3 linked regions of the Tamandua tetradactyla genome follow. The protein of the gene in region 1 purifies or fractionates together with the protein of each later gene. This does not show direct contact. Links are inferred from orthologs where the notes say so. Each region holds a gene or a part of one and is shown in the gene's direction. Other genes may lie near its edges.

What was found.
Region 2: the proteins of WDR48 (region 1) and RAD51AP1 purify together in Homo sapiens (affinity purification with mass spectrometry; 5 studies listed by BioGRID and IntAct, counting the BioPlex papers as one, with this or other methods). This does not show direct contact. The link is inferred for Tamandua tetradactyla from reciprocal best matches to the Homo sapiens genes WDR48 and RAD51AP1.
Region 3: the proteins of WDR48 (region 1) and PPP1R9B purify together in Homo sapiens (affinity purification with mass spectrometry; 3 studies listed by BioGRID and IntAct, with this or other methods). This does not show direct contact. The link is inferred for Tamandua tetradactyla from reciprocal best matches to the Homo sapiens genes WDR48 and PPP1R9B.

Annotation. Positions count from the first base shown.
Region 1 is NC_135341.1:48,173,889-48,184,421, reverse strand, and holds the start of WDR48 (WD repeat-containing protein 48), read left to right. Parts: upstream 1-6,403; 5' UTR 6,404-6,481; coding exon 6,482-6,529; intron 6,530-10,533. UniProt on the Homo sapiens protein: Regulator of deubiquitinating complexes, which acts as a strong activator of USP1, USP12 and USP46. Enhances the USP1-mediated deubiquitination of FANCD2; USP1 being almost inactive by itself.
Region 2 is NC_135333.1:66,778,207-66,788,647, forward strand, and holds the start of RAD51AP1 (RAD51-associated protein 1), read left to right. Parts: upstream 1-5,887; 5' UTR 5,888-6,037; coding exon 6,038-6,054; intron 6,055-10,441. UniProt on the Homo sapiens protein: Structure-specific DNA-binding protein involved in DNA repair by promoting RAD51-mediated homologous recombination.
Region 3 is NC_135332.1:31,294,737-31,305,097, reverse strand, and holds the start of PPP1R9B (neurabin-2), read left to right. Parts: upstream 1-6,073; 5' UTR 6,074-6,718; coding exon 6,719-8,095; intron 8,096-10,361. UniProt on the Homo sapiens protein: Seems to act as a scaffold protein in multiple signaling pathways. Modulates excitatory synaptic transmission and dendritic spine morphology. Binds to actin filaments (F-actin) and shows cross-linking activity. Binds along the sides of the F-actin.

The DNA of each region.
Region 1 (10,533 bases):
TATCATGTAACAACTCTTTTAACCTCACTCATGATGAGACAGAATTTTTAAAGGTCTCAAATTCTTTCTTTCTTTTTTTTGTATGATGTATGGTGGGGGTCACATTCATTCTTTTTCCATGTGACTATCCTGTTATTGCAGCACCATCTGTTGAATTTTTGGGGGGGAAAGGGCATGGGCTGAGAATTGAGCACAGGTTCCCTGCATGGCAGGCGAGAATTATACCACTGAACTACCCTAGCAGCCTCTCTTTTCTCCTCTTTTAACCCTTAAAAAATTAGTCTCCTACTTATCTCTACCTTCCCTACTGAATATAGTGGAGCTCTCAATTCACTAATTTCCTATTTGGGTGGACATAATTTTTTTTACAGAAGAATGATAGAACCAGAACAATTTACAGTCGCTATTTTGATTCAATTTTGTTTTAAAATACGAGTTGTAGTTCTTCTGTTTATAACCCCTTCCTGCCCTTTAGACTAATCTGGCTAGCTCCTATCTCTTTGGGTCCTGGTTTCCACTCATGGTACCAGGGACTCTCCAGCTTTGGGCTGTCTTCACAGATATGCTACCCAAGGAAGGGGCTGGGGACCTAACCCTGACCCTGGAGGGATGGGCATTAAAACAGTTGTAGCAAGAAATATTTCACAAATGCTAAAATCACCCTGCTTAGAAACAATCATCTATAGATTTAAAGTTAACAAAAATCTTTTTTTCTAATGTAAAAATACCTGATTTTTTTTGGGGGGGGGGGAGGAAACAAATTGAATTAACCCAGGAAACATCTTCACATTAATCATTCTTTTCATAAACTTCAAATTTGTACTTAATGCCTTTTTCCTCCTGGACATCAGAAAGAATACCTGGGTATTCTGGAAGAAGTTTATATTTCTCTACATCAATTTCTGGAAAAAATGTGTCACTTTCAAATTCCTGCATGATCCTTGTCACAAACAGTCTAAGATGGCCTGGCTGATTCATGGCTTCTTGATAAACAGAACTGCCTCCCACTATCCAAACCATGTCTACTTTATTTGCTAATTCTGGTTGCTCAATAAGTTTTAAGGCATCATCCAAACTTTTGGAAAGAAAATGTGCTCCTTGAGGGGGTTCCTTGAGTTCTCTACTGAGAACTAAGTTAATTCTGTCCTTTAAAGGCCGATTCTTCTCAGGGATGGAGAACCAGGTCTTTCTACCCATAATCACCAAATTCTGTTTACCTTCTACTGAGGAGGTTGTGGTCATTCTCTGGAAATACTTGAACTCATTCCTGAGTGGAGGCCAGGGCAGGTCTCCATTCTTGCCGATGCCCATGTTCTGGGACACAGCGACGATGCAGTTCAGCGGACGAACCATGACGACAGCCGCAGCAGATACCGCCGAGCGCGCTCGCCTGACTCTAAATTCCCCTTTTTAAAAGCCATTCTTTTTCTGGTATTTTGCATTTCAGCAGCTAGCAAACTAGAACAGTGCATAAATATTTATGATTGTTAAGCTTTTTTTTTTTACATGGGCAGGCACTGGGAATTGAACTGGGGTCCTCTGGCATGGCAGTCAAGCATTCTTGCCGCTGAGCCACTGTGGCCTGCCCTTGTTAAGTTTTTTGTTGAATTGTTCCTTTTATTAATATATAGTGTCCTTCTTTGTCTCTTTTGTTTCACATTTGAAGTCTAATTCGTTGGATATTAGTATAGCTGCTCTTGGTCTTTTCTGATTGTTGTTTTCATGAAATATCTTTTCCCAACCTTTCACTTTCAACCTATGTTTATCCTTGGGTCTAAGACGTATCTCCTGTAGACAGCATATAGATGGGTCCCATTTTCTAATCCATTCTGCCAGTCTTTGTCTTTTGATTGGGGGAGTTTAATTCATTAACATTTAGTGTTATTACTTTATGGGCAGTACTTTCTTCTAACATTTTGCCTTTTGGATTTTATATATCATATCTAATTTCTCTTCTTTTCACCTTTAATGATAGTCTTCATTTCTATGCTCTTCACACCTCTTTCTCCTGTCTTCCTATCTGTCTCTAGTGCTCTTTTAAATATTTCTTGCAGAGCTAGTCTCTTGGTCACAAATTCTCTCAGCGAATTTTTTTGTCTGAAAATGTTTTAAGTTCTCCCTCATTTTTGAAGGACAGTTTTGCTGGATATAGAACTCTTGGTAGGCAGTTTTTCTCTTTTAGTATCTTAAATATATCATACCACTGTCTTCTCACCTCCATGGCTTCTGCTGAGAAATCTGCACATAGTCTTATTGGGCTTCCCTTGTATGTGATGGCTCTTTTCTCTTGCTGCTTTCAAGATTCTCTTTCTCTTTGACGTCTGACATTCTGATTACTAAGTGTCTTGGAGTATGTCTATTTGGATCTATTCTGTTTGTGGTATGCTGTAATTCTTGGATCTGTGATTTTAAGTCTTTCACAAGAGTTGGAAATTTTTTAGTGATAATTTTCTCCATTAGTTTTTCTCCTCCTTTTCCCTCCTCTTCTCCTTCTGGGACACCCACAACATGTATACTCATGCGCTTCATGTTGTCATTCAATTCCCTGAGTCTCTGCTCATATTTTTCCATTTTTTCCCCTATATTTTCTTTTGCTTATCAGATTTCAGATGTCACACCCCCCACTTCACTACTCTTATCTTCTGCCTCTTGAAATCTAACATTGTAGGTTTCCATTGTTTTTTTTTCATCTCTTCTACTGTGCCTTTCACTCCCATAAGTTCTGTGATTTGTTTTTTTAGACTTACCATTTCTTCTCTTTGTTCATTCCTTGCCTTCTTTATATTCTCCCTCAATTCATTGATTTCATTTTTGGTGAGGTTTTCTATGTCTGTTTGAACATTCTGAATCAATTTCTTCAACTCCTGCATCTTATTTGAATTGTTGGTTTGTTCTTTTGACTGGGCCATATCTTCAATTTTCTTAGTATAATCTTTTATTTTTTGCTGGTGTCTAGGCATTTAATTTCCTTAATTAGTTTATTCTGGAGATTGTTTTCACTTTTTTTTACCTAGGATTTTCCTGCTGGATGACTTTGTTGTCTATCTGTTCTTTGACATTCAGTTCAGATTATTCTAGACCTCTAGCTTAGGTTTTGTTTAACAGATCAGAGTTTTTCAGTTCTTGTTTTCTTGTTTCTTGTTCTGCTGTATGATGCCTTTTTTTTTCTCCTTAGGAAGGTCTACTTAGGTATTATAGATCCAGTCAGATTTCCTCAGACCAAACTGGCCTCCTTTCATGAGTCACCTGTGTCAGTTTTCCCTGAGGGTGAGACCCAGCAGGTTGAAAGACTTTCTATGAAGCCTCTGGACTCTGTGTTTTTCCAATCCTGCCTGGTATGTGGTTCTTGTCTGCCTGCGGGTCCCACCAGCATAAGGTGACATGGTACCTTTAACTTCAGCAGATTCTCCCTGCTGGGGCATGGTTGAGACAGAGGAGAAGTTGTAGGCTTGCTTTAATCACTTCAATTTTCCAGACCCTGGGGTCTGAATTCCTTGAGGGAGGGATTCCACCTGAGCTACGCCCCACCTCTCTCCTGGAGAAGGCACAGCCTACAGACAAACTCTTAAACAAGCTTAGTTCTGCCCATGCCTTTAGCAGTTGGAGCCTGAGAAGCCCTGCAGCTGTATCCAAAGAGCAGTCAAGCCATAGAAACACAGCCACAAAAAAAGAAAAGAAAAAGAAATCCTTTTCAGAGCAGGACCCCCATTCCTTGGATTTGCCAATCAAGAGCCTAAGTTGGTACATTGCTCTATGTATCTCCAGGTCCTATGTGCCCCCTCCTTTTCTTCAGGGCCCAAACCCTTTCAAGTATTTTGTGCTATCTGATCAAAAAAACTTTTTTTTTCCATTATCACAGACCCCCTCTGTGCCAAGGCAAAAATCAGCAACCTCAGGTTTTACTTGCAGTTCAGCTGAGCTGGGGGCCTATTTTTAGTAGTCAAAATGTGTCTCTTCTGAATCCTCCCTAAAAGCCTTCCAGTGATTAGATTAAACATCACACATTGCAGAAGGCACTCCCCTAACTGATTACAAATGCAATCAGCTGTGGATGTAGTCTACCTAATCATGATTTAAGTCTGTGAAACATTCCCATAGCAACAGACAGGCCAGAACTTGCCCAAACAGACAATCGGGCACCACCACCTGGCCAAGTTGACACATGAACCTGACCATGACAAGGGGGTAATTATCTGTTCAAAAGGAATATTATTTTATAAAACAAAGAAAATCTTGGTTGTACAAATGATAGAGGAAGTCATGAACTCCACAGGATACTATGTTATTCACTAATTTGCCATAGATTTCTAACACTGAGCACATCCTTTGTGTTCTATGCTGGTTTGAAGCTATGTACCCTAAAAAGCCAAGTTCTTTATCCTAGACCAATCTTATGGAAGCAGACCTATTGTTTAGGGTGGAAACTCTTAATTAGGCTGTTTCCATGGATATGTGACACACCCAATTGTGGGTGCAACCTTCTGATAAGATGGAAATGTGGGTCCACCCATTCAAAGTGGGTCTTGATTAGTATACTGGAGTCCTTTTGAAGAACAAACATTTTAGAGGAGCTTAGATGCAGACATTTAGAGATGCTTGGAGTGTGACAGAGAGAATGGACACATAGACATGGATGTTTGAAGATGCACAGTCCAGCAGATATCACCATGAGCCTTCCCAAAAGATGCTAAGTGAGAACCCACCATTTTGCCCTGGAGAAGCTAAGTGAAGATCCACAGATGCTTAGAGAGGAAGCCATTGGAATCAGAAGCTAGAAGCAAAGGAACTGGGAACAAGGATGAACAAGGACTCTCTTTGGCATCAAGGTATCCTTATCTGGACACCTCAGTCTGGACATTTTTAAGGCCTTAGACCTGTAAATTTGTAAATTCATAAATCCCCTTTATAAAACTAGATTTCACAAATTCAATATTTGTCAGGGTTATCACTGAGCAGGCAACATCAAAATTACAATCCATTTCTGCCATGTACCAGCATATTGTGTAGAACAAAATGCCTTGCACATCTTGGCTGCTCAACACATTTTTCTAAAAACTGCAGATCATGTTCCTCCCCTGCTTAAATCCCTCCAATAGCTTTCCATCAGTCTGAAAGACCCTACTGGTTGTGGCCTCTGCACACTCCTCCCTTTTTGCTCTCTATGCTCCGAGGCTGAACCCTAAGTTCCTGTATCTTCAGTATCTAATGTTATGCCTAGCATTTAATAAGTGCTTTAAAAAAATAATTTTAAAAACTTTGTTGAATATAAATAAATGAATGAATGAGTCTGTAATAAAATGCAGTCCAGATAATTCACCTATAAGTTATCACTGTCAGTTCTGCTTAAGAAGCATTCTGCCGTCAGTTTCTACTCCTTAATTCATATTTCCTTACTGATTAAAAAATTTTTTAAAAGCCATTTGTCAAGACGAGAGCTTTCCTAAGTATTATTTATATATTAACACTATTCAGTAGAAATATGTGAGCTGCATGTTATTTTAAATATTGTAGTAGTCACATTGGAAAAGTAAAAAGATTAATTTTAGTAATATATTTGAACTTAACATATTAAAAAACCCTTTTAACATGATGTCAACATTTTTTTACACTCTTTGTTCAGTTTATTTTTTATAATTACAGCACATCTCAATTTGAACTAGTCATATTTCAAGGACTCAATGGCCACGTGTAGCTAGTGGATACCATATGGGACTGCGTAGTTCTATAGGATTCACTTTCACAGCAAAGTGCCTGACCACTCTCTGCTCCTATAATTAGTGTCAGGAAGACCTCCTCAAGCAAAATTCTCATCCAGAAGGGTCTAAATGTCCCAGCTTGAGATGATTTAGACTAGATACCAGAGTGAGCCCTAACTCCTTCAGTTTGGAATTACGAAAGTTGTCTCTGGGAACAATATTAGCGGGTGTGTCCTCTTCGCCTTCCCGTATCAGTTTTTTATTTCCTTTACTTAAATAGATATTTTGCTTCTCTTGAAGATGAAGACCGCCTCCTTTGCAACGGCTTCTATATCTCCTCCCTCAAGGTCAGTTTTTTAGATACTTCACGACAAGCCGGTCGGTCCACTTGACTGCCTAGGAAAGTTTGCAGGGGGAGCGTCCAACCGCGCAAATCTAGTCTTATTCTTTCAGAGCTCTCCTAGACCTGCCGGGGTCTCTGGAGTAAGCAGCATCAGAGAGTGGCAAAAGCCAAGGTTTGGGGCCACAGAGAGCCTGATTCGAATTGCTCCCTCGGCTCAGAAAGGTGATTCTCCTTCCACCAACCGTATATTCGTACAACGAATTCGTTCTTAAACGCATCTAATACACTACAGGGCTACCAACTTCAGAAAAGAACCGCACCCACAGAAGACCCCACCTCCCTGCCCTCAGCCCTCCACCTGCCTTTGGAGAAAGGAAAGGGGCGGAACATCCGCCTGAACCGGTCAACTTTCGGAAGTGACGTAGGAGTGTCAACATGCAAGATGGCGGCCCATCACCGGCAGAACACGGCAGGGCGGAGGAAAGTGCAGGTATGGGAGCTCAGCTCCTCGACCTCCCAGACGTGGTTGGCAGTCCCGGGGTCACCTCCTGCGAGCATATACCATGGGCCACGGCTGATAAGTGTAGCGGTTTCGGGCGAGTGGAACGGGGCGCGGCCGGAGGCGAGGGGTGGGGCTGCGGCGCTAACGGCTTGAGGAAGGGGCGGGGGTCGACCAGCTTGGACCGTCTAGTCCAGTCCTGGAACCCTCGGGTTATGGGGTTCAATCCCTGCAATTACCGGTCGTCCGCTGTCCGGTAGGCCTGGGTCTGCGGAGTCGAGATGGGCTTGCTCCCCGCCCACCTGTCTCCCCTCCCCCTGCCTTTCCCCGAAGCACTTTGCCCTATCCAACTCGGATCAGAGGCCTCTGGACATTTCCTGGCCGGCAGGCGGCGGAGGAGTGAGAGGGCCTGAGCGGGGGCGTGGCGGAGCGCGGGTGGCCCTGCGGGCTTTCTGAGGAGTCCACACGTGGGAACCTCTATTCCCCCTCCCCCCACCACCCTCCGGCCTCCTCTCAAGTGGGAGCTTTCCACCGGTTGAAGAGGAAATGGCATGGAAATGTGCTGGAGTTACTGGGAAAATTACAATTTTACTTGTTTTGGAATTTAGTTATTTCTTCATTTTCACTGTGTATCCTGGAATCTTTTTTTTCTTTCTATTTCTGTAGTTCATTATCCAAGCATTAAGAGTTGTCTAACCTTTCTGTGCTTTATGCTCTCATGACTTTAGTTTTGTGTACATTTAAAAGTTGTGCTCTATTATTTTAAGCGACACAGAGATTAAAAGCCCTATTACAGGTATTTACCTGCAAGTATATTTTATGTAGTAGTGACGGCATAGTTCATTATTTCACTGAACGTTTATTGACCTTACACTTTGGGCCCCAACATGTGCAGAGGTTCTAGAGGGGACAGGAATAAGTAAAACACCCAGGCTTGCTTGATAAAAACACATTCTGCAGGTTGCAATCAGTGAGTGTTTAATTGATAGTCAAGATACGGGTTCTTTCAGTAAAATAAGTTCAGGAAAAGGTTGGAGGCCATAAAGTCTCTGGGGCAGTTCACATCTTTGTTTCATTTTGTTTTGCTTTTGTCTCACTGATCAGTACAGTGTCCTGAGCACTCATTAGATGTTTGTTGAGTTGAGTGGAACTAATAAGAATCTAAAGTAGTTTAACCTATTAGGTGATTTTTAAATGCATTAGTGATAATATTTAAGTAACATCAGAATCCAAACCAGGTGCTGAGGGTGTCTCCTCTTGAGTGGAATGTAACTCAAATTGTAACTTAACTAATTCTAACTGGACTGCCTGAAATAATTATATGTAACTGGCTCCCAGTGGGTCACAATAATTAAGTATTTAGGCAGCACTAATGGATACCTTTGAGGACTTTAGGAGCTGATGGTATTATTCTAGAGACTGAAATGGGGATAATCAGCTCTTGAAAGATAGTTGTAGGGCGAGCAATCGTGGCTCTGTGGCAGAATTCTCGCCTGCCATGCTGGAGACCCGGGTTCCATTCCAGGTACCTGCCCATGCAAAAAAATAGAAAGACAATTGTTAAAGTACACAAAGTACACAAGGAAGGTGTGAATTAGTTGAGTATGTGTGGAGAAACAGTTCGTTGTAATAAGCTGAATGTGAGCCAGCATATGTAGAATGAGGAAGGTGATAGCTCTACTCTTTACTGGTCAGAGTACAACACTAGAATTTCTGGCTCAAAATTTAACACCTTTTTTCTCAATATAGCAACCAGGTTGATGAAATGACTTGAGACTATTTTCTGTGAAAAATTAAGGTTAGTTTTCACTAGAGAATATTTAGGGAGCTTTGTTATCTGCATTCAGAACTTGTCGCCAATATAGGGAGAAAAGCCACAGAGATTGATTTTCTCTTGACATGAGACATAAATTTTGTTTGTTTATGGAAGTGTTTTATAAACTAGTATGTGTTCATTGGGAAAAAAATACAAATAATACAAAAAAGTGTAAATGAAAATTGTCCTCCACACTTCAAAGAAAGCTACTGTGAGCAATGTGGTAAATAATCCTAGACCAGCATTTCTCAACCTGCATGCTGTTGACATCTTGGGCTGATCATTCTTTGTTGTGGGTGGCTCTCCTGTGTGTTGTAGGATGTTAATCATCATCCTTGACCTTGACCTACCAGATGCTAGTAGCAGTTCTCAGTTGTGACAACGCAAAATTTCTCTAAACATTTAAGGGGTAAGTGGGGGTGTACAAATTGCCCCTAGTTGAGAACCACTGAATATATGTACCTGATTTCTGTTCTTTGTTTTATTATAAGTGGAGCCATAGTATACATTGTTCTGTGACTTGCTATTTATCAATATTTTAAATGTACAGTCCATCTCCCATCAGTTCCTTTTCTAAAACTTTGCTCTACAAAAATACGTATATACCCATACGTCATCATCTTTTTGGGAAGGGGGGTTTATTGTAGGAATGTTGTCATTGTGAAAAACTGAACAAATCTAAATGTCCATCAGTAGGGAATTGGCAGACAAGTTATTGTATGTCCATATGGTGGATTAATTCGCAGTGTTAACAAGATAAGCTAGATTTGTGTGCAAGGAAAAGGAAAGATATCCAGAAGTCTAAAAAGCACATCAATTTAGCATGGCTCCATTTCTCCAAAGGAAATAATGTATTTTAAAAGCCTGGAAGAATATTAATGGTGATTATCTCTGGCAGTATTGGATTATGTGATTATGGGTAGGGCAGAATATAAGATACTTTTTAACTTTAAAATATATGCACCTTTATATTTTTGAACTTTTTACAGCATATTATATGCTTTTTATAAATAAACAATCTTTCCTGCTTGAAAAAAGTCTGAGTACTTAGAAGTATAAATGTATTTTGTCTCTTGGCTGTCAGTGTCTTGGACCTGGAAGCAGTAGCCCTAAGTTCCTTTGCCAACTTGTAAGCCGAAAAGAATCATTGAAACTTATAATAATTGCTAAATAATTAGACTACCAGGGAGAGGCATGCAAACATACTGCTTGTTCGCTACAAACATAATGACATATATATAAAGTATTAGTAATTGTCCTACCATCTAAATCTAAAGGGACTGAAAGTGAATATAAGGGTGAGGATAGATTAGTGACTGTCAGAAATATGATCAGTCAATTAAATATGCAAATTCAGCTATATGGTGCAGCGTCTTTCCTGGTAACATGAAAGCAAGCCTTTTTACTCTCTGGCAGTCCTTTATGGTTCTCTTAGTTTTATGATGAGTGTGTTGGTTGTTCTCTTTGTTCCATTACTCATTCTCCCATGGCCTTTTCTCTCACCTGGTTCAGAATTGTTGGAGAGAAGTTGAATAACAGTAACCAGTATACACAGGTTTAGAAACAACAACTATGCTCTAATACTTAGTGATGGTTCAAGAATATAACTCCTTGACCTTCTGTAAGGGTTATTTTAGTGGGAAATGATCCAAAATCTAACTCAATCAGGCCCACGTAATAAAGACATATATTACTTCATGTAAAGGAAAATTCAATAAGTAATGCTAGTTTCGTGCAAAGCTTGATCCGGCAGGCTCACTGCAATTCTCTACTCTAAGAAGTGACGTTAAGTCAGCTTTACCATTGGGGTGCATACAAGTTTTCTCTCCCAACTCCAGGCCTCTCTTCTATTGATGGCATGGTGGCTGTACCTATTCCAGACCTCATGTCCTCCCACCACAGCACCCAGGGTAATAGAGTCCCTTAAGTAGCACCTGCACAATTTCTCCTAGGATTTGTTCACCAAAAGATAATATCGGGAACAGAAGTGGGGAATGGAGAGGCAACTAACAAATGTCTACTACTACCAAACTCCTCTTCCTGCCAAATACCAAGTCATGCCAGACCTATTCAGAGCACATTATAGTCCTTACTTCCGATTCTGATTCCCAACTTGGGGATAGTTTTTAATCTTCAAGGCTTTTTAAAGTAATTAAAATAATGCCAAATCCTGCCTTCT
Region 2 (10,441 bases), on another chromosome or scaffold:
GTTATTACTTTATTACTATGGATCCTGAAGAATAAAAAAATCAGAAGAGAATACTATGAACAACTATTTGCCAACAAACTAGACAACTTAAATGAAATGGACAAATTCCTAAAAACACATGACCTACCTACACTGACTTGAGAAGAAATAGCAGTTCTCAACAAACCAATTATAAGTAAAGAGATTCAGCCAGTTACCAAAAATCTTCCCAAAAAGAAAAGCCCAGGACTAGGATGGCTTCACAGGGGAATTTTATCAAACATTCCAAAATAACTAACACTAATTCTGCTCAAATTCTTAAAAAAAAATGAGGAAAAAAGAATGTTAAATAAAGCTAACAACACTCCAATACCAAAACCAGATAAAGATGCTACAAGAAAAGAAAACTACAGACCAGCCTTCCTAATGAACACAGCTTCCAAAATTCTCAACAAAATACTAGCAAATCAAATCCGATGACACATTAAAAGAATTATACATCATAACTAAGTAGGGTTTACACCAGGAACACAAAGGCTGTTCAATACAAGAAAGTCAATCAACGTAATATATCACCTTAACAAAGTGAAAGGGAAAAAGCACATGATCATTATCGATTGATGCTGAAAAAAGCATTCAACAACATTCAGCATCCTGGCCTGAAAAAACACTTCAAAAGTTAGGAATCGAAGGAAACTTACTCAATATCATAAAGGGCCTATATGAAAAGCCCATAGCCAGCATCATACTTAACGGTGAGAGACTGAAAACATTTAAGATTGGAAATGAGACAAGGATACCCATTGTTACCACTATTATTCAACACTGTACTAGAAATCCTAGCTAAAGCAATTAGACAGGAGAAAGAAATAAAATGCATTCAAAGAGGAAAGGAAGAAGCAAAAATTTTTATTTGCAGATGACATGATCCTATACTTAGAGAACCCTGAGAAATTTATGAGAAAGCTATCTGAGCTAATAAACAAATTCAGAAAAGTGGTGGAATATAAGATTAATGTATAAAAATCAGTAAAATTCCAAACACAAGTAATGACCTATCTGAGGAAACAATTAAGGAAAAAATTCCATTGAAAATAGCTATCTAAAGAATCAGGTATAAAGGAATACGTCCAACCAGGGATGTCAAGACTTGTACATAGAGAACTACAAAACATTGCTAAAAGAAATTAAAAATGACCTAAATAGATAGAAAGGCATTGCATTCTCATGGATAGGAAGGTTGACTGTTGTTAAGATGTCAATTCTACACAAAATGAGCTACAGATTCAATGCAAAATCAATCAAAATCCCAATAACCTATTTTGAAGATTTGGAAAAGCTAGTTCTCAAATTAATTGTAAGGTAAAGAGACCCTGAATAGCTAAAGATATCCTTAAAAAAGAAGAGCGAAGTAGTAGGCTTTAAAGATTACTATAAAACCACAGTGGTCAAAACAGCATGATGCTAGCACAAAGATAGTATTGACCAATGGAACTGAATTGAGAGTACAGGGACAGACCACCAAAATATGGACAACTGATCTTCGATAAGGTTCCCAAATCCACTGAACTGGGACAGAACATGGGTACTGAAAAACAGATAGAAGTGACAGTAACTAATTTGTGGCATTATAAGTAACTTTGCTATATTGAAGGTGAATATGATTAAAAGGGAATGTATAGTGCCCATATATCCCACTGAGTAAATCTACAATTATAAGTAAGTTCTCGCATGAACTATTTCAAAGATTTGACATTGAACAAAGAGTTAATAGTAAAGAGGTACAGAGGGAAAACTAAAAATGCATGATATGGTCAATAGTTAACAAGAAGACATCAACAGTACCACAGCACTACCAGGGACAACTAATTGCAGGGGAGGTACAATTGATAAGGGGTAGTTTTGATTTCGATATTTGGTGACGCTGTGTGTCAGTTCTTTGTCGCTGAAGATAAATGAAACTTGTCCAAAATTGAGAATGCTGTTGATTGTACAACCCAGGGAGGATACCATAAGACATAGTTTGTTTATTTTGGGCATTATCTATGACGCCCATTATGGAAGGGAACTAAAGGATACAATGACTGAGAAGAATGGCAAACTGTGATACATGTATAGGAAAGAATATGGTGTGGCTACAAAAAAGGACACCAACAGGCATGCAACGAACTGAATAAACCTTGGAGATAATGTGGTACAAAATAAGCCAGAAACAAAAGAACAAATATGCTAAGGTCTCTTTCAGAAAATACTTATAAGAAAAATGGAGCCTAGTTTGTAAGCCCTTATAGCAGCCACACTTAGTTTGAAGTTGTAAGTATATTCCTAGATTCTGAGACACTGAGCTATATGTGTATCAGACAGTATTTCCCTGGAACTCTAAGTAACTGTGATACGTAAGACACAAAAATGTGAGTGCTGAGCCCTGAAAGTTAGCACAGCTATGTACTATAACAATTAAAGTAACCAAAAAAGAGATCAGGTCTCAATTAGAGATAAAAACAAAGCCAATCTGGCTGGGGCTAAGGTAAATCAGAATACAGAGTAAAAGATGATAGTTTTTGTACTCTAGACTTTCACTTACTGTATAAGACCAAAGGCAGAGAGGTTTATTATGTCTAGAATCTAAATTTTGTGTAGCACACAATCGAAATCAACCTGTTTGTACCGCTCATTTAAACAAGCCAAATTCCTGGAGTCCTGGACGGAAACAAGGCCTATAATTCTGTATAGCTTAATGTAATATCAGGATACATCTCAGGACTATGGTTGGCTGATAATTAAAAAGTATTGGTTGAGAGTGTGAAGGAAAAAAAACCAAAACATGGAACTATTAAAAACTTTCCCAGCTGGGAAACTCCAGGTACCCTCTCAAACACTGGGGACTCCCAAGAAAACAGGCCAAGCCCTTGATTTTGAGGATTGTCCTTGTGAAATTCATTTCTGTAGCAGAGAAGCTAAGAATATTTATAATGAGGCCTAAGAGTTGCTTCCAGGAAACCTCTTTGGTTGCTCAGATGTGGCCTCTCTCTCTCTTTTTCTAGGCCCAACTCTGTAAGGAGGATCATCACCCTTCCCAATATGTGGGAGGTGATATTCAGGGGTGTGAAAATCTCCCTGACAATGTGGGGTACGACTCCAAGGAATGAGATTGGCCCTGGCACCATGAATAGACAACTGCCTTCCTGACCAAACGGAGGAAAAGAAATGTAATAAAATAAGGTATCAGTGGCTAAGAGAGATCAAAAAGAGTCAAGAGGCTATTCTGGAGGCTACTCTTATGCAAGCTTCAGTTAGATGGTGCTAGTTGCCATGGTTTGCTAAACCCCAATCAAAGTCACTCCTGTTAACTCTTAAGAACACCTAGGCTCGAACTCCAACTCTATAAAAGTTCCATGCACTGTTTGTTTTCTTGGAACCTATAATTTCAAGAGGGTTGCTAGGCCAGTAAGTCCTGAAACCCAGAGGGACCAACCTCTCCAAGAGTATCAATTAATTACATTCTGTGCTGGTTTGAAAGGAAGTATGCCCCCTAAAAAACCATGTTTTAATCAAAATCCCATTTCATAAAAGCAGAATAATCCCTATGCAATACTGTATGTTTGAAACTGTAATCAGATCATCTCCCTGGATGATGAGATTTAGTCAAGAGTGGTTGTTTAACTGGATTAGGTGACGACATGTCAAGACCATTTGGGTAGGTCTTGATTGGTTTACTGGAGTCCTGTAAAAGAGGAAACATTTTGGAGAATGGGAGATTCAGAGAGAGCAGAACGACATAGCCACAAGAAGCAGAGTCCACCAGCCAGCGACCTTTGAAGACGAAGAAGGAAAATGCCTCCTGGGGAGCTTCATGAAACAAGAAGCCAAGAGAAGCTAGCAGATGACGCCATGCTCACCATGTGCCCTTCCAGATGAGAGAGGAACCCTGACTGTGTTCACCATGTGCCTTCTCACTTGAGAAAGAAACCCTGAACTTCATCGGCCTTCTTGAACCAAGGTATCTTTCCCTGGATGCCTTTGACTGGACATTTCTATTGACTTGTTTTAATTGGACATTTTCTAGGACTTAGAACTGTAAACTAGCGACTACTAAATTCCCCTTTTAAAAAGTCATTCTGATTCTGGTATGTTGCATTCCAGCAGCTAGCAAATTAGAACACATCCCCTTATCCTTTAGTGTTGAACCCCTTAACATGAAAAAGTCAGAATGGGCATTGCCTAAAGATCCCTATAGATGGGAGAAGGATCAAAGGAGAAGGGGGTATAACACAGGAAACAGGATTTAACAAACAAGCATGATTGCTGAATCAGTATATTAATATTCCTTCTAGTTTCCAGTGTTTTGCAGCTGTTGGGGTGGAAGGGCAGCAGGGAGAGGAACTGAAATGGCGGAATGGTGGCCCATAATAGGCTCTGAAATCTCTTCCACAGCTGCATGTTACAGAAGGTGTTCTGTCACTGAAGGTATTAGGGAGTTCTTTGAAAATTATTGCTTTCTTTTCTTTGTAGGTATGCTATATTTCACGATTAAAAAACTTTTTTTTTAAAGAGACATTCACACTCACTTTATATTAAACAGCCTAACAGGTTTCCTTACCCCCAGCAAACCAACCATTCCCAACTCTCCAGAATTTAGACTGCCTTCATTAAAACTCCTGAGTGTTTACCACTGCCTCCTCCCCAAACTTCCCAGCATGGCATACAAGGGTGTCCATGATTTGATCCGCAGTTACATCCCCAGCTTCATCTGTACCATGTCCTCACTAGGCAGTGAGAATCCTAAGAACAAGAGTTGTGTCTTAACAAAAGTTGAACCACTGCATACAGAGTTGACTTTAGGCAAATATTTGTTGAAGGCAGTCAATGCAGTGATAAGAGAACGAATCTTTCATTTATCAGTAAAATGGCCCGAACTCTGACTCTGCCATTTACTTGCTGCCAGAGCAACTGTCATTCGGGGATAATGCATTTAACTTGCAGGACTGTCATAAGGATTGATAAAATAATATGAAGTACCTGGTAAACATGAAATGATCAATATAGAAACTAGTAATAATATAATTAGCTATTGGGGTGGGGTGGGGGAGCCTATAGGCCAATAGCTGTGTGCACATGACCAAGGCAGAAGCAGTAAAGGAATACTGTGGTAGAAAATTGAAAGTTATAAAAATATGGTGTTATGGTATAATTTTGTTCAAACGCAACACTTTCGGTAAGCAAAAACCATTAGCTCTAGTTTCGATCGGTTGGACATTAAATTTTATTGCAGTCCAACAAAGTGATACCTTTCCGCTTTTTTTTTTTTTACTATCTAAAGCCTCGCCTCAGTTTTAGCAGGGATGATAACAAGATAGGCTTCCCGTAAAAAAAAAAAATGTTGTGGGAGGAAGGCCGCACCTAGTTTATACAGTTAATTTAGTAGAGGTTCCGAGGGTAAAATTCGTCTGCGAAAAGGAAGGCGGGCTGCGGGGCCGAGAAACTCCAGCCAACGGAGCCCATTTAGGGGTTTTCAGACTGAAGGGCCTCGTTCTTTAGTCTCACCTTGTCTAGTCCCGAAGTCTTCAGCGATCGGCACACTCCGAGTGGTCCACGAGCCTCGGCACTAGGGATATCAGCTGTTTTACCTACTCGTTGTTACATCCAGCAGTTCCGTCGGCAGATTCCCCCACACCACCTCCTCGTCCCTGGTACTGGATGGAAAACCCATAGATCTAAGCACCACTTATTTCTTCTTGCTTCAATTAGGAAGGTGCATTTCTACTGTTATTGCGTATTTCAGAGACGGCGCAAAAGTCACTGTCATCACGAAAGTGCAAGGGCAAAGCGCAAACTCCGCTGGGGTTGACCGGATACGGAAGTGCAGTTGTCTTGGGAAGGGCCTGAACAAATGAGATTTTCTCAGGGCGCATGCGCTTTCGCAAAACTAGGGAAATGATTGGAGGACTGACTGTCAGTGGGCGGAGAGCTTCGTTCTTCGGTTTTAGGCGGGAGTTGAAACCGCCAGTGCTTCCTAGGAGAACTTGAGACCTGCAGATTTGCATCCTTGGAACGGACCATGGTGCGGCCTGTGCGGTAGGTAGTTAATGACATTCGACGGAGTTGGGGAGGAAGGGAAGGAAGATGCAGTGGGCAACTTAGCTTACACAGGAGTGAAGGGAGAGCTCGGTAGGATGGAGGGTGGGGATGGTGGGAGTTATATGGTTAGGGGAAAAGGCCTTATCAGGAAGAAACTCTCCAGGTTCCCGTCAGAGCCACGCATTCCTCAGAAATATCCTAGCATCATAGTCTTCTTCTCTCTCACTCTTTGCCGACCCCGCAAAAGACCTTGTTATGTTAAAATTTGAACAATACCTACTTAAGTGTTATTTCAGTTGTTCATCACTAGTTTTCTTTAACGTAGAAAGGTTAATTATCCCTATTTCATCGATTAAAAACTCCCAGGCAGAAAGGCAAAGATAAGTGAGTTGCAGGAGAATATTCAAATCTATGTCATCTGACTCCATATCCTCAGTGGTTTTCATTATACTATTTGCACCTATTCCCTACTTAATCACATTTGAGTGCCATGGAGGCTTAACGTCAACCATTCATTCAGAAAAGCTATTGAACATATTAACTTCTGTCCTATAGGAGGTGCTGGGGGGTTGCATTCCAGTGGGGGGTGGGTGAATAGGGAGCAGAAAATAAACATCACAGTGTGATAGTGGAAAAGATGGAAGCCCTATTCTAAATAGAATAGTTAAGCCAAGGCTCTCTGAGGAGATAACCCTTGAGTTGAGATATGAATAATGAGACAGAGCTAGACAGGTGAAAATCTGGGACAATCCAGGTAGAGGGAACAGCAACTATTAAGGCTTTAAGCGTGAGCATGTTCAAGGAACAAAATGAAGGCCACTAACACTGTAGAATAGTGAGCAGTGGGGAGAGTTGTAACGGATGAGGTCAGAGAAATAGGCAGTGTCCAGACCAGGTGGGGCCTTGCAGACCTTAGAAAGGATTTTATTTCTACAGAGGGATGCCAATGAAAGATTTTAAATAGGGGAGAAAAATCTAATTTTGGTTTTATAAAGGTCACTGGCTGCCAGTGGAGAATGAATGGGTGGATGGCATGACTAGAATGGGAGCAGAGCAGCCTGTTGGAAGGCTATGATGTCATTTTGGTGGCTTAGATTAGGGGGTGTTAAAAGTAGACATGGGATGGAATAGATGAATTTGGGATATATTTTGGAGGTACTGCTGATGACTTGCTGAAGTGAATTTCTTGATAAGGACAAAGAATCAAAGATGACTCCACAAGAATTTTGGCCTGAGCTGCTATGTAAATTTTTTTTTTTTTTAATATGGGCAGGCTCTGTAGATTTTTTTATTAATTGAAATGGAGGCGACTAGGAAATGGAACATGCTGAGGAGGTGTGGGGGACCAAGAGTTCTGTTTCAAACACATGTTTGAAATGTGTTTTAAGCATGCAAGTAAAGAAGATATAATCCTTTTATTTGAAAAGCATTTTTAAAAGTTCTACAGACCACTAAGGGTCCTTGAGATTCTTTCAGAGGGTCTGTGGGATCAAAACTATTTTTCATAATAATACAAATTCAAATAAAATATCTTATTTTCAAATAAGATATTTGCTTTTTCACTGTTTTGTCATTTGCACTGCAATGATGGGTAAAACTTCTGGTGCCTTAGCATGAATCAAGTCAGTGACACCAAACTTTACTAGTAGTCATTGCATTCTTTCCTGCCACACGGAGTGAAAAAAAAGAAAATGCCGGTTTCACTTAAAGATGTGCTTCCTTTGGAGGAATGGTGAGAAAGGGGGTAAATTCAACCTCCCCAAGTGGAGAATTCTTGATATTCTCACAAGCAGTGGGAACAACCAAAACAATAGGCTGAGCCCCCAATCTGGGGTTTGTTCATATGAAACTTAACCCCACAAAGGATAGGCTAAGCCTACATAAAATTAGGCCTAAGAGTCACCTCCAAGAGAACCTCTTTTGTTGCTCATATGTGGCCTCTCTCTCTCTCGGCCAACATAACAAGCAAACTCACTGCCCTCCTCCTCTCTATGTGGGACATTACTCCCAGGAGTGTGGATCTTCCTGGCAACATGGGACAGAAATCTTAGAATGAGCTGGGACTCAACATCAGAATTGAGAAAACCTTCTCGACCAAAAGGGGGAAGAGCGAAATGAGACAAAATAAAGCGTCAGTGGCTGAGAGATTCCAAACAGAGTCGAGGAGGTTATCCTGGAGGTTATTCTTATGCATTAAATAGATATCACCTTTTTAGTTAAGGTATAATGGAGAGGCTGGAGGGAACTGCCTGAGAATGTAGAGGTATGTTCTGATAGCCATGTTTCTTGAAAATGAGTGCATAATGATATAGCTTTTGCAATGTGATTGTATGATCGTGAAAACGATCTGATGCTTCTTTTATCTACCTTATTGACAGACGAGTAAAGCATATGGATTAAAAATAAATAAATAATAAGGGGAACAAATGTTAAAATAAATTTAGTAGATTGAAATGCTACTGATCAATGAAAGGGAGGGGTAAGGGGTATGGTATGTATGAATTTTTTTCCTGTTTTCTTTTTATTTCTTTTTCTGAATTGATGCAAATGTTTTAATTTGATGCAAATGTTTTAAGAAATGATCATGATGATGAATATACAACTATGTGATGATGTTGTGAGTTATTGATTATATATCAAGAATGGAATGAACATATGGTAAGAATGGTTGTGTTTTTATGTGATTATATTTAATAAATATATATATGAAAAAAAGAATATTCCTGATGAAACAGTAAGAATTATATTTATTGTAGCTCAACCCTTGGATGTATTTTTTTTAAATGAAGACTTCTGATTTTATTTTATCGTTGTTCAATGTTAATACTTCTCAAGGGGTTTCCATGTTTTATTCAGCTCTCAAATCTGAACTCTGAAGAGTAGGAGAGTAACAACAAGAATACACTTCTTTTTAATATTCTCTGTGAGGAAATGGAAAGTATGCATAAAGCACTTCTACATACCAAAGTACAATAGTTATCTCTAGGAAAAGCACTTGTGTGAATGTGTAAATTACAAGCTGAAATAGCTGCCTTGTTATACCATTTTTACTTGAAAGAACAACTAACTGACAAGCTAGGAGCTATTCACACTTGGAATATGGTGGACATTCTGGAAAAGGAACTTATTGAACCTGTCACTTCAAAGAAAATAACTGACAGCATTTGTTTCCAGTGATAAAATTTGTGCTGACTAGCAAAAATTAGAAGTTTTTTGGAAAACTTGTGTGTGGCACTGTAAACTTGATGGCTTCCCAATATTCAAAGACTTTTGGGATGAATTTGATGGTGATATTAACAAATGTGATTTTTGATATTGTGTAGTAAAGTATATAGATATTTGGAAGACCTGCATAACTCAGTGAACCAGTATTTTCCAGATTGCCAACAAATGATGTAACAAAATCATGCATCAGTAAAATATCCATTTGAAGTGCATGATAAACCAAGGGATATTAATGTATCAGAATAAGAAGAGTTCATCGAAACCCTTTCATATTCCACATTGCAACTGTTAAGAAGCTAGACTTGTCTATTTCCTTGGTTTAATTGTGTTCCTCTTGGTAAATTGGGGATATTAAGTTCACTAGGTTTTTTCAAATAAATCACAAGACTTCAATTCAAAACAAACCAATGCATTTCTCAGCACCCTAGCAACTTTTCTTACTCTAAGTCTGTGAGAAAAACTTGTTGCTTCTTGTACTGGTTTAAAATTATGTATGTACCCTAGAAAAGCCATATTTTAATCCTAATCCCATTTTGTAAAGGCAGCTGTTTCTTCTAACCCCTATTCAGCATTGTATGCTTGAAACTAATACATCATCTCCTTGGAGATGTGATTTAATCAAGAGTGGTTGTTAAGCTGGATTAGGTGGAGGCATGCCTTGGGTGGGTCTTGATTAGTTTCTGGAACTTGCTGTGCTGAAGGCAAGAAACATTTTGGAGAAAGCTGGAGAGATTCAGAGAGAGCAGAGTCTACCAGCCAGCAACTTTGGACATGAAGAAGGAGAACACCTCCTGGGGAGCTTCATGAAACAGGAAGCCAGGAGAGAAAGCTAGCAGATGATGCCATGTTCGCCATGTGCCTTCTTACTTGAGAAAGAGACCCTGAACTTCACTGGCTTTTGAAGCAAGGTATCTTTCCCTGGATACCTTAGATTGGACATTTCTATAGGCTTGTTTTAATTGGGACATTTTCTTGGCCTGAGAACTGTAAACTAGCAACTTATTAAATTCTCCTTTTTAAAAGTCATTCCATATCTGGTATATTGCATTCTCTCAGCTAGCAAACTAGAACACTTCTTTCTAGTTTGACAAATGTCAAAACATTTGTATAGAACTTCTAGCTCCTGATGTCTCTGAAAACATTCCTTGTATCCTAATTC
Region 3 (10,361 bases), on another chromosome or scaffold:
ACAGCTTTTGAGTGCTGCCCCAAGTGGCATTCTGCCCCTTTTCCCTCTCTAATAGAACCCCAATTTTATTCAGGGTCTGTGTTTTAGGGAGCACTGGGCCTTCCTCAGCCCCATTAAGTGAACTGTGATTAGTCTAAATATAGCATGATAAGAAAAAAAATGTTCTTAGTCTTAACCCTATTCCTGTGGGTGTGAACCATTATAAACAAGACCTTTTGAAGATGTTATTTTTAGTTAAGGTGTGGCCGACAGAATCAGAATGAGTCTTAATCCTAGGACTGGAGGCCTTGTAAAGAGAGAGACACAAGGAGGAACCAGAAGCCAGCAGAACCCAGAAGAGAAAGGAGAGAGCCATGCCATGTGATGAGGAAGCCATGAATGCCAAGGATTGCCAGCCCTCCAAAATGCTCCTGACCCTGGAAAGAAGCAATCCTTCCAGTCTCCAAAACCTTGAGACAATAAATTCCCATTGTTAAAGCAAACCCATTGAAAACAACCCCTCTCTTCTGTCTCCAGACACTGTTGTCTACATGATATGCCTGGAACTGAGGCAGCCATCTTGGGACCATGAGGGGACAAGTGTATGAGAAAACCAGCATGAAGAGGAAGCTATTGCAGAGAGATTAGAACCTGGCCCTTGATGTCACAGCTCACCTTTTGAATTTAGCCTACACTGACATGTCCTGTTATATGAGATAAAATTTCCCTTTGGCTTAAGCCACTTCTAGTTAGGCTTTCTGTAACTTGCACCAAAAGCTGCAATAGGATAGCAAAGGATATGGACAAAAGCGATTCGTGACGGAGGAAACCCAGATGGCCAACAAGCCTGATAGGATGCTTGACTTCATAGGCAGGGATGCAGATTTAGATGAGATAGCTATTTCATACCCACCCGACTGGCAAAAATAAAAAGTCTGACAAGGGCAAGTATTGGCAAGGATGTGGTCAAACAGGACGTCTTGTACAAATGCTGGTGCTGAGAACATAAACTCGTTCAGCCGCTGAGGAGCACAGTTTGGCAGTACTAGTCAAGCTGAAAACTTGCCTGCTCTACAGCCCCAGCTTTCTGCTTCTAGGATGTTTATTGCAGCCCTTCTTACAGCAGTGGGAAGAAAAGAGAGAGAGAGTGAGATAAAGCCGAGGTGTCTGTCAGTAGAGAGACTGACTGGTAAATAAATTGCGACTTGTTCATATGGTAAAATACTAAACAGAAGCTAAAATGAACAGACCAAAGCCATGTAGATTACTCATGCGACTCCATTGTGAAAAGCACATGGAGTGAGAAACAGACAAAATGATACTCATGATATAATGGTCATCATGTAAATTTTTTAAATACAGAAACCGTCGATATGCTGCTTTACAAGTACTTAAATGTGTAGGAAAAATACACAATTATGGATTAGAAAGGATGCATTCCAAATTGGTGAGAGTGAGGAGGGAGGGCAACGGGACTGGGGAGAAAGAGAAAGGGGACATCAGCTCAAATGCTAATGTTCTATTTCTTCTATATGAAAAAACCTGAAGCAAAAAGACAAAATGCCGGCATTTGTAAATAGAGTTTGTTATATGAGTCTCCGAACTTATTTTTTCAAAAATATTTTAATAAAAAAGTTAAAAAGTATATACATATATATATATTTTTTCAGGTTCTCTAAAATAGAACTTTCCTGAAGGGGTAGGATTAACCTCAGTCCCACCCCCCACCAAGGCCACCCTCAAGTGCAAGGGGCTGAGAGGAGGAAACCTGAGAGCTGCCGTTGCTGAAGCTGTGCCTGTGCCAGGTGCCTCGCCAGCCTAGAGGAGTGTAGTGGAACCGGGCAGGCTGGGCACTGGCAGGAACAGGATGCTCTTTCCTGGGGCCCAGGGCAGGTGAAGCAGAAGCTGGTGGAAGAAGGTGGCTTTCAAAGTTAGTGCCCTCCTCAGGTGCCCAGTGCACAAGATCCAAAGGGCGGAGCAAACATGGAAACCATCAAATCACAGATATGAGTATTCAGAGCAGTTCAGGTCAGCAGTAGAAAGAGTTCTTTGAATCTTCTGATCACAAGATATATTGCTCAGTCTTTCTGGATATGTTCTTTTCTTTGACCTCCCTGCATATCTCTGGAGCTCCCACAGGTACTGCTGTCTGTGTTGCAAAGTACATTTTTACAGGCCCTCTAAGCCCTGCTAAATATAGGCTTTCTTTTAAAGCAACTGATGATTTGGAGAAATCATCTCTGTCCCACCCCTTTCCCCACCCCCAACACACACATGCACAGCCCAAAGGCACACAACACACATATGTATGACACACTCACACTCCAACTCTTCCTTCTTACTCCCAACCCTCCAAGATGTATCCCAGCTTTTCAAGAAGCACTGGAGTGACTTTAGAAAGGCAGCAGGGCAAGCTTCCAGCTAGGGAGCCGGGGGGGGGGGGGGGGGGGGGGGGGTATGTTAGATCAATTTTTTACATAATTGCCTCTGCAGGGATAAAGAAGAACTTGAGACACCAAGAGGTAGGAACGAAAAACCCTTTGGGAGGTAGAGATCCATCTTTCCAGGGGTGATCCCAAAAGATCTGGTGAAGTCACAGGTAGCGGATCCTTCTATTTCAGGATCTCTTATAATGGACCTTGGAAGGAAGCAAGAGGCCCAGAATGCTGTGAAGACACACTTAAAAGTGCAAACACTGATGTTCATTCTCTGCCACACTTGCCCAGTCATGTGCACGCATGCACACACAACACTTATTCATGTTCAGATATGGGTGCAGTAACAGCTGATACTCTAAGCTCCTACTGTCTGCTTGGACCTGGTCTAAGTGCTTTATGCATTTTGAACTCACTTAATCCTCATTTCTCTGAGGTTGATAATTATTTCCATTTTACAGAAAAAGAAATTAGTGTAAGTCCTTTAGCTGGGAAGCAGCAGGTAGGCATTCTGACAAACACGGTCTGGCTTCAGAGCTCATGTTCTGTTCTGCTTCAAGCATGCAACTGTGAAGGGGACATTCAAGGGCCACTAAAGGCCCCTCCCACACTGACATCTGAGTTCTTCCGCATGTAAGCGTGTACATATGTGCATGCCTTTCCGGCATCGTTGTATCTCCCACTCTTGACAGAGGACCCATGGAGAGCAGAGCTTAGGGGGAGACCACTGGCTCCACTGCCCAGGCTATAGGGCAGGGCCTAGGACTCGGCTCAGTTGACTGAGGCAGTAGGAATGCCACTTTTGGAGGCTAAGTCTCTTGGGCCTAGAGTTGGGAAGAGAAGCCAACCTGGGCACCAAGCCCGGGCATGAGCCCAAGGTGCTGAGGGCTTGAGACTTATCACAGATCAGGTCTCTCCCAGCTTTTGCAGTCACACCTGGTGTTTAAAACTTGCAGGCTTCGAGGAACAACCCTAAAAGGGCATCTTCCCAGAGGGCCCTAACTGGACCTAGGGGTGTGGGAAAATGGGGAGGGACTTTACTAGGAGAAGGGTTGAAGGAATTATCTCTGCCTACGGAGACCTTAGGCCTTTTGACCAAGACTGGCAAAGATGCCTCCTTCCCCTCCCACCCTATCTTTTGTTGTTCCCATCACTTCCATCTCTCCGGGCCTCGGTTTGTTCCTCTTGGAGGGGTCACACAGCTAGTGCATGTGGCTCCTGGGTCCATTTTGGGAACTACTCTAGCACAGGTCCCAAGGCAAAGGTAGGAAAGGAACTTCCATCCAAAAATGACCACAGGCAATTAGGCCTCCTCCAAAAGGATACTGGAAAGAGGAAAGGTGGTTAAATTATCCTGAGGAAGGAGGTGAGCATTATAGCTCAAGGAAATTAAAATTAAGTTAAAACCCTTCGGTTTTTATCATAATCCTCCCAAATGCAGCCACCACCCCTTGCCCCCCCCCCCTCCCCAGTCAGGAAGGGAGGGCCTGGAGGAGAAGACACCCTTTCCCCACCCATCACCAGCCAGCTTGGTGCCTGGCTCCTGGGAAGTAGTTGCAGTAAAGCACTTACTGCTCTGTAAAAGCTTCTTTAGGAATTCTGGCTGGGGGTGTCATTGAGTTGACCAGGAGCCCATGAAATGATAATCCCACTCATTAGCCTCAGTCACTCAAGCTCTGGGCCAGCTCCTCTCTCTTGCATCCCAAAGCACTTAAAAGGGGTTTTACCCTTGGAAGCCTCAGGACAACGGAGACCAGGGCATCCCAATTGTTCTAGTTCATGCCAAGCTGCTACAAAAGATGTTGGGGGGACCCCAGGTCTTTGGGCCTGACAGCTGGATCTCAGCTCTTCCTCCCACCCTCACAGGCTAAGGGCTTTCCCACCTGGCCAAAGGCGTGGGCACAGACCCCTTGGGCTAGGACCAGTTAAGATGACTCATCACAAAGGGTGTGGGAGATTCTGGGCAAAGCACCCAGGGGCTTGTGCCCTCCTCCAACCCACACAAGAGCTTCTGGGGACACTCTGCCCAACCCTTCAACCTCCAACTGGGTGAGATTTCTCTGCCCACCCATGGGGGGGTTGGGGGACCCTTGGGAAGGGGGGTGGCTTCCAGTCCCATCCTTGAGTTTGGAAACCAGAGTCACAGAGCTTGTTCCTGAAAGGGAGGGAGGGCAACCTGGGGATGGTGTCCTGTCTTTACGCTATCCTATTCCAAAGTGCAAAACTGGGGAGGGGCAGTTTCCCAGGCAACCAGGCAAAAAAGAGACAGATGGTATCGGAAAGCCAGAGGTCTGGGTTCATTTCCGGCCCTCTGGCTCAGAACCCAAATCATCCCTCCCCCTTAGCCCAGCCTCAGGATCTAGTCCCGTGGTTCCTGGCCCCCCTCATCCCACTATGCTTGGTTCCCAGGCAGTTACCCCGCCCCATCCCTACCCAGTACAGCGCTCCTTTGCTCATGCTAACAGGTTAATACTTTAAAAAAAACCACACACACGCCCCTGCAGTGCTGAGGTGGGAGGATTCCCTTCGCCAGCCATTCCAGGCCTGTGGGAGTCGGGAAGAGGAGGAAGAGGATGGAGGGGAAGAGGGCGGGGGAGGAGGCAGAGGCCTCAGGAAGGCCTGAGATGCAGGAAGCAGCTGGGAGGGGGGAAGGCTTTGTGCCTCGGTTGTTCTCTGGGTCCTAGGGTCCACTCTGTTCATTCTAATCTGGTATCTGTGGAGCAAAGGGACCCTGTTCGCATCAAACATAGTCTTGCAGGTGGACTGTCACCCCTAGGACCAGGGCAGATGGGGAGGGTAGAGGGAGACTCCGGGCCCCCGGTTGTGTGGGTGAGGAACGGGGGGACATCAGAATAGCTTTCTGAGTTGACAGGTCATGGGCTATGTGGGTCACAGACATACACACACTGGCCAGGAGACACACCTCCCCTAGCTAGATCAGAGACCCCAGGTAGAATTCTCGGTGGGGAAATCGGGGCCTCTAGAATTGCTCCTCCAACCGCCCCCCCATTCCTATTTGAGGGGCAAGTGTGCCCCACTTAAGAGCATGAAGACAGGAATTCTGCCCCTTCTAGTCCAGCCTGGGCTGCAGAACAGGCAGGTGACAGGCACACCTCTTTGGATTTCCAAAGGGCAAAGGTGCCCTTCAGGTAACGGAGGCCAACTCATGTCTCAGTTTCCCTATCCACCTCCATCCCCAGGCCAGCAACTCTGGGCCAAGATTTCACATCTGAACAGAAGAGTCCCTTGTGAAAATTGTGAAAATGCAGATTCCCGGGCCCACCCTCTGAGATTTGAGAGACAGAGTTTGGGGGAGGGCCCAGAAATATGCTCCCCCTCAAACATCCAGTGATTTTGATACTTATGACTTTGAACCACTCTAGGGAGTTCTAAGGACCTTGAAGGAAATGATTCTTCCCTACTTGTCCCCTATTTCACTTTGGGGTGGAGGGCGCCTCACCCCTGTGGCTAGCTTAACCCCCCTCGCCCCAAGATTAAGTAGGGGGTGTGTGGGTTGAAACAGCCTCAGCTAGAGGCTGGGACGGAAGTGTGGATGAGAATCGGCCAGAGCCTGGGGGCAGCGGAAGGCGAAGGACGGGCAGGGGAGGGGATTCTTTCGGCCCGAGGGGAAGGGGAGGGCTCACAGACTCTGGTCCCGGAAATCCTATCCCTTTAGGACCCAGAGGTGCCAGTCCCCCAGCGGCGGCGGTGAGAAGGGTAACCGCTCGGTCTCCGGCAGCCGCCGCTCGGGCAGAACGAGAGAAAGACCGAGGCTCGGGGCGCGGGGGGGAGGGAGGGAGGGAGGGAGGCGCGGCGGAGGAGCGGCCCGGGCCGGCGGAGCAAGCCATGGGCGCCGGGGTGCCCGGTCCCCCGGGAGCGGAGATCCCCGGCCGGGGTGGGGGGCGCCGGGGCTGCCAGCCCCGCTGACACCGCCTCGGACGATGTGAGCCGGCACCGCCTCGGCTGCTTCGCGGGCAGGGCGCGCGGTTCCCCCGGCCCCGGCCGCTGCTTGTCTATTTTGGGTGGGGGCGAGCGTACCAGGCCGCTTGGGCTTTTTAAGAGGGTCTGACTGTCTCGGCAGCTTGATTGGGGGAGGCGACCCACACAGGGCGCGCGGAGATATTTTTTCCTTTTTTTTAAAGCACGGCTAACTGTTTTTGGCAGCTTGGTTTCAGGGGGAACGTAAAAAAGACCTCTCGGGGTTTCTTTTTGGGGAGGAGGGGGACGGTGGTCCCGACTTGGCCGGCAGCCTGTTGGAGGGGGGGAGCGGGGAGCGGGGGCATGCGAACCCGGCTCCCCCCACCATGATGAAGACAGAGCCGCGGGGGCCCGGGGGTCCCCTCCGGAGCGCCTCCCCGCACCGCAGCGCCTACGAGGCGGGCATCCAGGCACTGAAGCCTCCGGACGCGCCCGGGCCCGACGAGGCTCCCAAGGCGGCCCACCACAAGAAATATGGCTCCAACGTCCACCGCATCAAAAGTATGTTCCTGCAGATGGGCACCACGGCGGGGCCGCCGGGCGAGGCGGGCGGCGGCGCCGGCCCAGCTGAGGCCCCGCGGGCGCCCGAGCGCGGCGTGCGCCTGTCGCTGCCGCGGGCCAGCAGCCTGAACGAGAACGTGGACCACAGCGCCCTGCTCAAGCTGGGCACCAGCGTGTCGGAGCGCGTGAGCCGCTTCGACTCCAAGCCCGCGCCCTCTGCGCAGCCGGCGCCGCCGCCGCACCCGCCGTCCCGGCTGCAGGAGACGCGGAAGCTGTTCGAACGGAGCGTCCCGGCGGCCACCGGCGGCGACAAGGAGGCCGCAGCGCGGCGGCTGCTGAGGCAGGAGCGCGCCGGCCTGCAGGACCGGAAGCTGGACGTCGTAGTGCGCTTCAACGGCAGCACCGAGGCGTTGGACAAGCTGGACGCCGAGGCCGTGTCGCCGACGGTCAGCCAGCTGAGCGCCGTCTTCGAGAAGGCCGACTTGAGGACCGGCCTCCACCGTGGGCCCGGGCCCCCCAGGGGCTCGACCGCCGGCCCCCCCCAAGTCAACTCGAAGCTGGTCAGTAAGCGGTCCCGGGTGTTCCAGCCCCCGCCGCCCCCGCCCGCCCCGTCGGGGGATGCCCAGGCCGAGAAGGAGCGCGGCCCGGGAGGGCAACAGCCTCAGCAGCACCGAGTGGCCCCTACCCGGCCGCCCCCCAAGCCCCGGGAGGTGCGCAAGATTAAGCCTGTGGAGGTGGAGGAGAGTGGGGAGTCGGAGGCCGAGGCGGCGCCCGGGGAAGTGATCCAGGCTGAAGTGACGGTCCACGCGGCCCTGGAGAATGGCAGCACCGTGGCAACCACAGCCAGCCCTGCGCCTGAGGAGCAGAAGGCCCAAGCGGCCTCCGAGGAGGAGGAGGCGGCGGTGTTGGCGGCGCCAGAGAAGGGGGTGGGCAGTGACCGGGCCTTGGACGTGGCCTCCGAGGAGGTGGATGAGTCCAAGAAGGAGGACTTCTCGGAGGCGGACTTGGTGGACGTGAGCGCCTACAGTGGGCTCGGGGAGGACTCTGGGGGCAGTGCCCTGGAGGAGGACGACGAAGAGGACGAGGAGGATGGGGAGCCTCCCTATGAACCCGAGTCGGGGTGCGTGGAGATCCCGGGACTCTCGGAGGAAGAAGACCCGGCCCCGAGCCGCAAGATCCATTTCAGCACGGCCCCCATCCAAGTGAGTGAGCCCCCACTCCCCGCCCCCGCGCCGCCCCTGCCACGTGCGCGTCGTCGCCCCCGCCCCGCCAGCTGGCCTTGGCAGGCTGAGTCAGCCCCTGCCACCCAGCCCCCTTCTCAGAAGTTACCACCCTGAGGGGGGCGTACCAACTGTCTGTCAGGGAGGGACGGTTTTCAGACCTGGGGCTGGGGTGGCCTGCCCGGACCTGCCCTCAGGTTCCTCCCCTGCAGGCCCTCCCAGCCCTCCGGTCGCACCCGTCCTGCCCTATCGGGTCTGGGGGACACCTGCATTCCCTCCCTCCCCCAGCCAAGCTTTCCTCCAAAGGCTGGCACTGCCAGTGCCCAAGGTTTGAGCGGTAGAAAAGTGTGTGTGCGCCTGCGCGCGCGCCCTTGTCCTCGAGGGAGCCCTCCCTCACATTTGTCCTAACCTATTCTGGGGTGGGTGCCCTCCCTACGTTCCCTCCCCTTGACTCAGGATAGGGTGAGGAAGGCTGAACAGAGGGAGGGGGAGCCAGGAACTTCCCAAAACGAAGGTGCAGGGAACTGCAGCCCTTCCTCCATCCTGCCTGGAGCCCCCACTCCAACTTTGCAGAAGTGAAAGAGGGAAGCAGGTCTGTGAGGGCTGTGAGCTTGGGCCATGTGACTTAGGAGGTGGGGTAGGGACTAGCCCTGGGGCTCTGTCCCTGGGGTCAGTGCTGGCCTGCTTCCAAAGGCTCCTTTTCCCACAGGGAGGGGGCACTTTGAGTGACCCTTAAGTGGGCTAGATCTTCTCCAGGGCATGGGAGGTGGGGGGTGGGGAGCAGCTGGGAAATCCTCCAGGGTGCCTGGCAGCAGGCACCTTTGGTCATGGCTGCTAAATAGGACAGATTCCCATGGCTTTAGCCCAGGCAGGCCCTGCATGTTCATGCCACATTCCCAGGGTGCCGTGAAAGAGGGGTCGGAACTGCCCCTTTCTGAGCCCCTGTTTGTCCCTTCCCCATCCCCACTCCCTCTATCGGTAACTGGTTTGTGAGCTGCACCTGAGCTTTGAGAGCCCCAGAACAGTGCTAAGGGGAAGGGGAGAATTCAGAACCCCAGGTCACCTCCATCCCCCTCTACCCTCCACTCTGGATGGCATATTTTGCCTTAATAGTGCTTTCTGCCACCCCAGGCTCAGCTGTGCAGGGTCCCAGGTCTACTTCCTGGGGTATCTAGGGCCGTGGACTTTTCTCAGCCTGGACCCTGCACAGCTTGCCCACTGTGCCCAGCACTCACCCCCTAATCAGTTTGCTTGCCGTTTCCATAACTACGCCCCGACACCACCCAGGCTACCCAAGTTTCCTTTCACCTACTGCAGAGGAGCCCAACCTCTGTCCCTCCTCACTCCCTGTCCCAGCTGGAGGCCTGAATGGTTATAAGTGGGTGGCCACCCCTTTCCCAGTACAGCTCCTTCCCCTGGGCTGGGGCCTTCGGTGTCCTTTCTCCTCCCCTCTCCCTTTCTCTGATCTGGAGGTGAAGAGACCCTGGAGGGGTGAGAAACACAGGGTCAGGGTTTCCTGGGTGCTGAAGAAGGGAGTGGGAATCACTGAGGGAGGCAGAATGCCCCCCTCTCCATTTCTCCAAGCAGCCTGTTCCCCTCAGAGATGGAGTTTGCTCTTTATGTACTAGGCCCTGGGCCTCTGTCTATATTTGACATTACCCTGATTTTTTGGTGAAAAAATAGCACATGATTTGGAGCAGTGCTTCCCTGCTCCCCAGTGACTGATGTTCTCTGGTGTGAGAGCCTGGTGGGGAGGGGGTTGGTGTGTGGCTTGGTGTGTCTGACTTTTGACCTTGCTGGGGATTTTGTCCTCCCTTTACTTAGTGTAGTGAGTCCAGGGTTTTAAGCCCCAAAGATGCCCCAGTTGTTACCTTTACGGAGAGGGAGGCTTCTGCTGAGGACAGCTCAAATAAAGTTTTTACCTGGGAAAGTGGGATTGGGCCTGGGGTGCTCTGATGGGCTAGGCGTATGGTGGTGGGCAACCTGTGAGGAGGGATGGGGGTGGCCTGTGGCCTCCTAGCTGAGGCCTGAGCTTCTTGCAGAGTGCAGGATTTGAAAGGTGAGCAGGATTGACTGGCTGAGGAAAGACAGGAGGGCAAAGCCCAGGGCAGGCTGAGGGGGTGATTTGGAGGTCATGGGGGTGTCTGGGGAGGGATTTGTTGGTTGACCTAGGAGACTAGAAAGACTGAAGGATGAGAGGACCCGTCAGCTGGAGCTGACGGGTCAGGGAACTCAGATAAAGAACTGG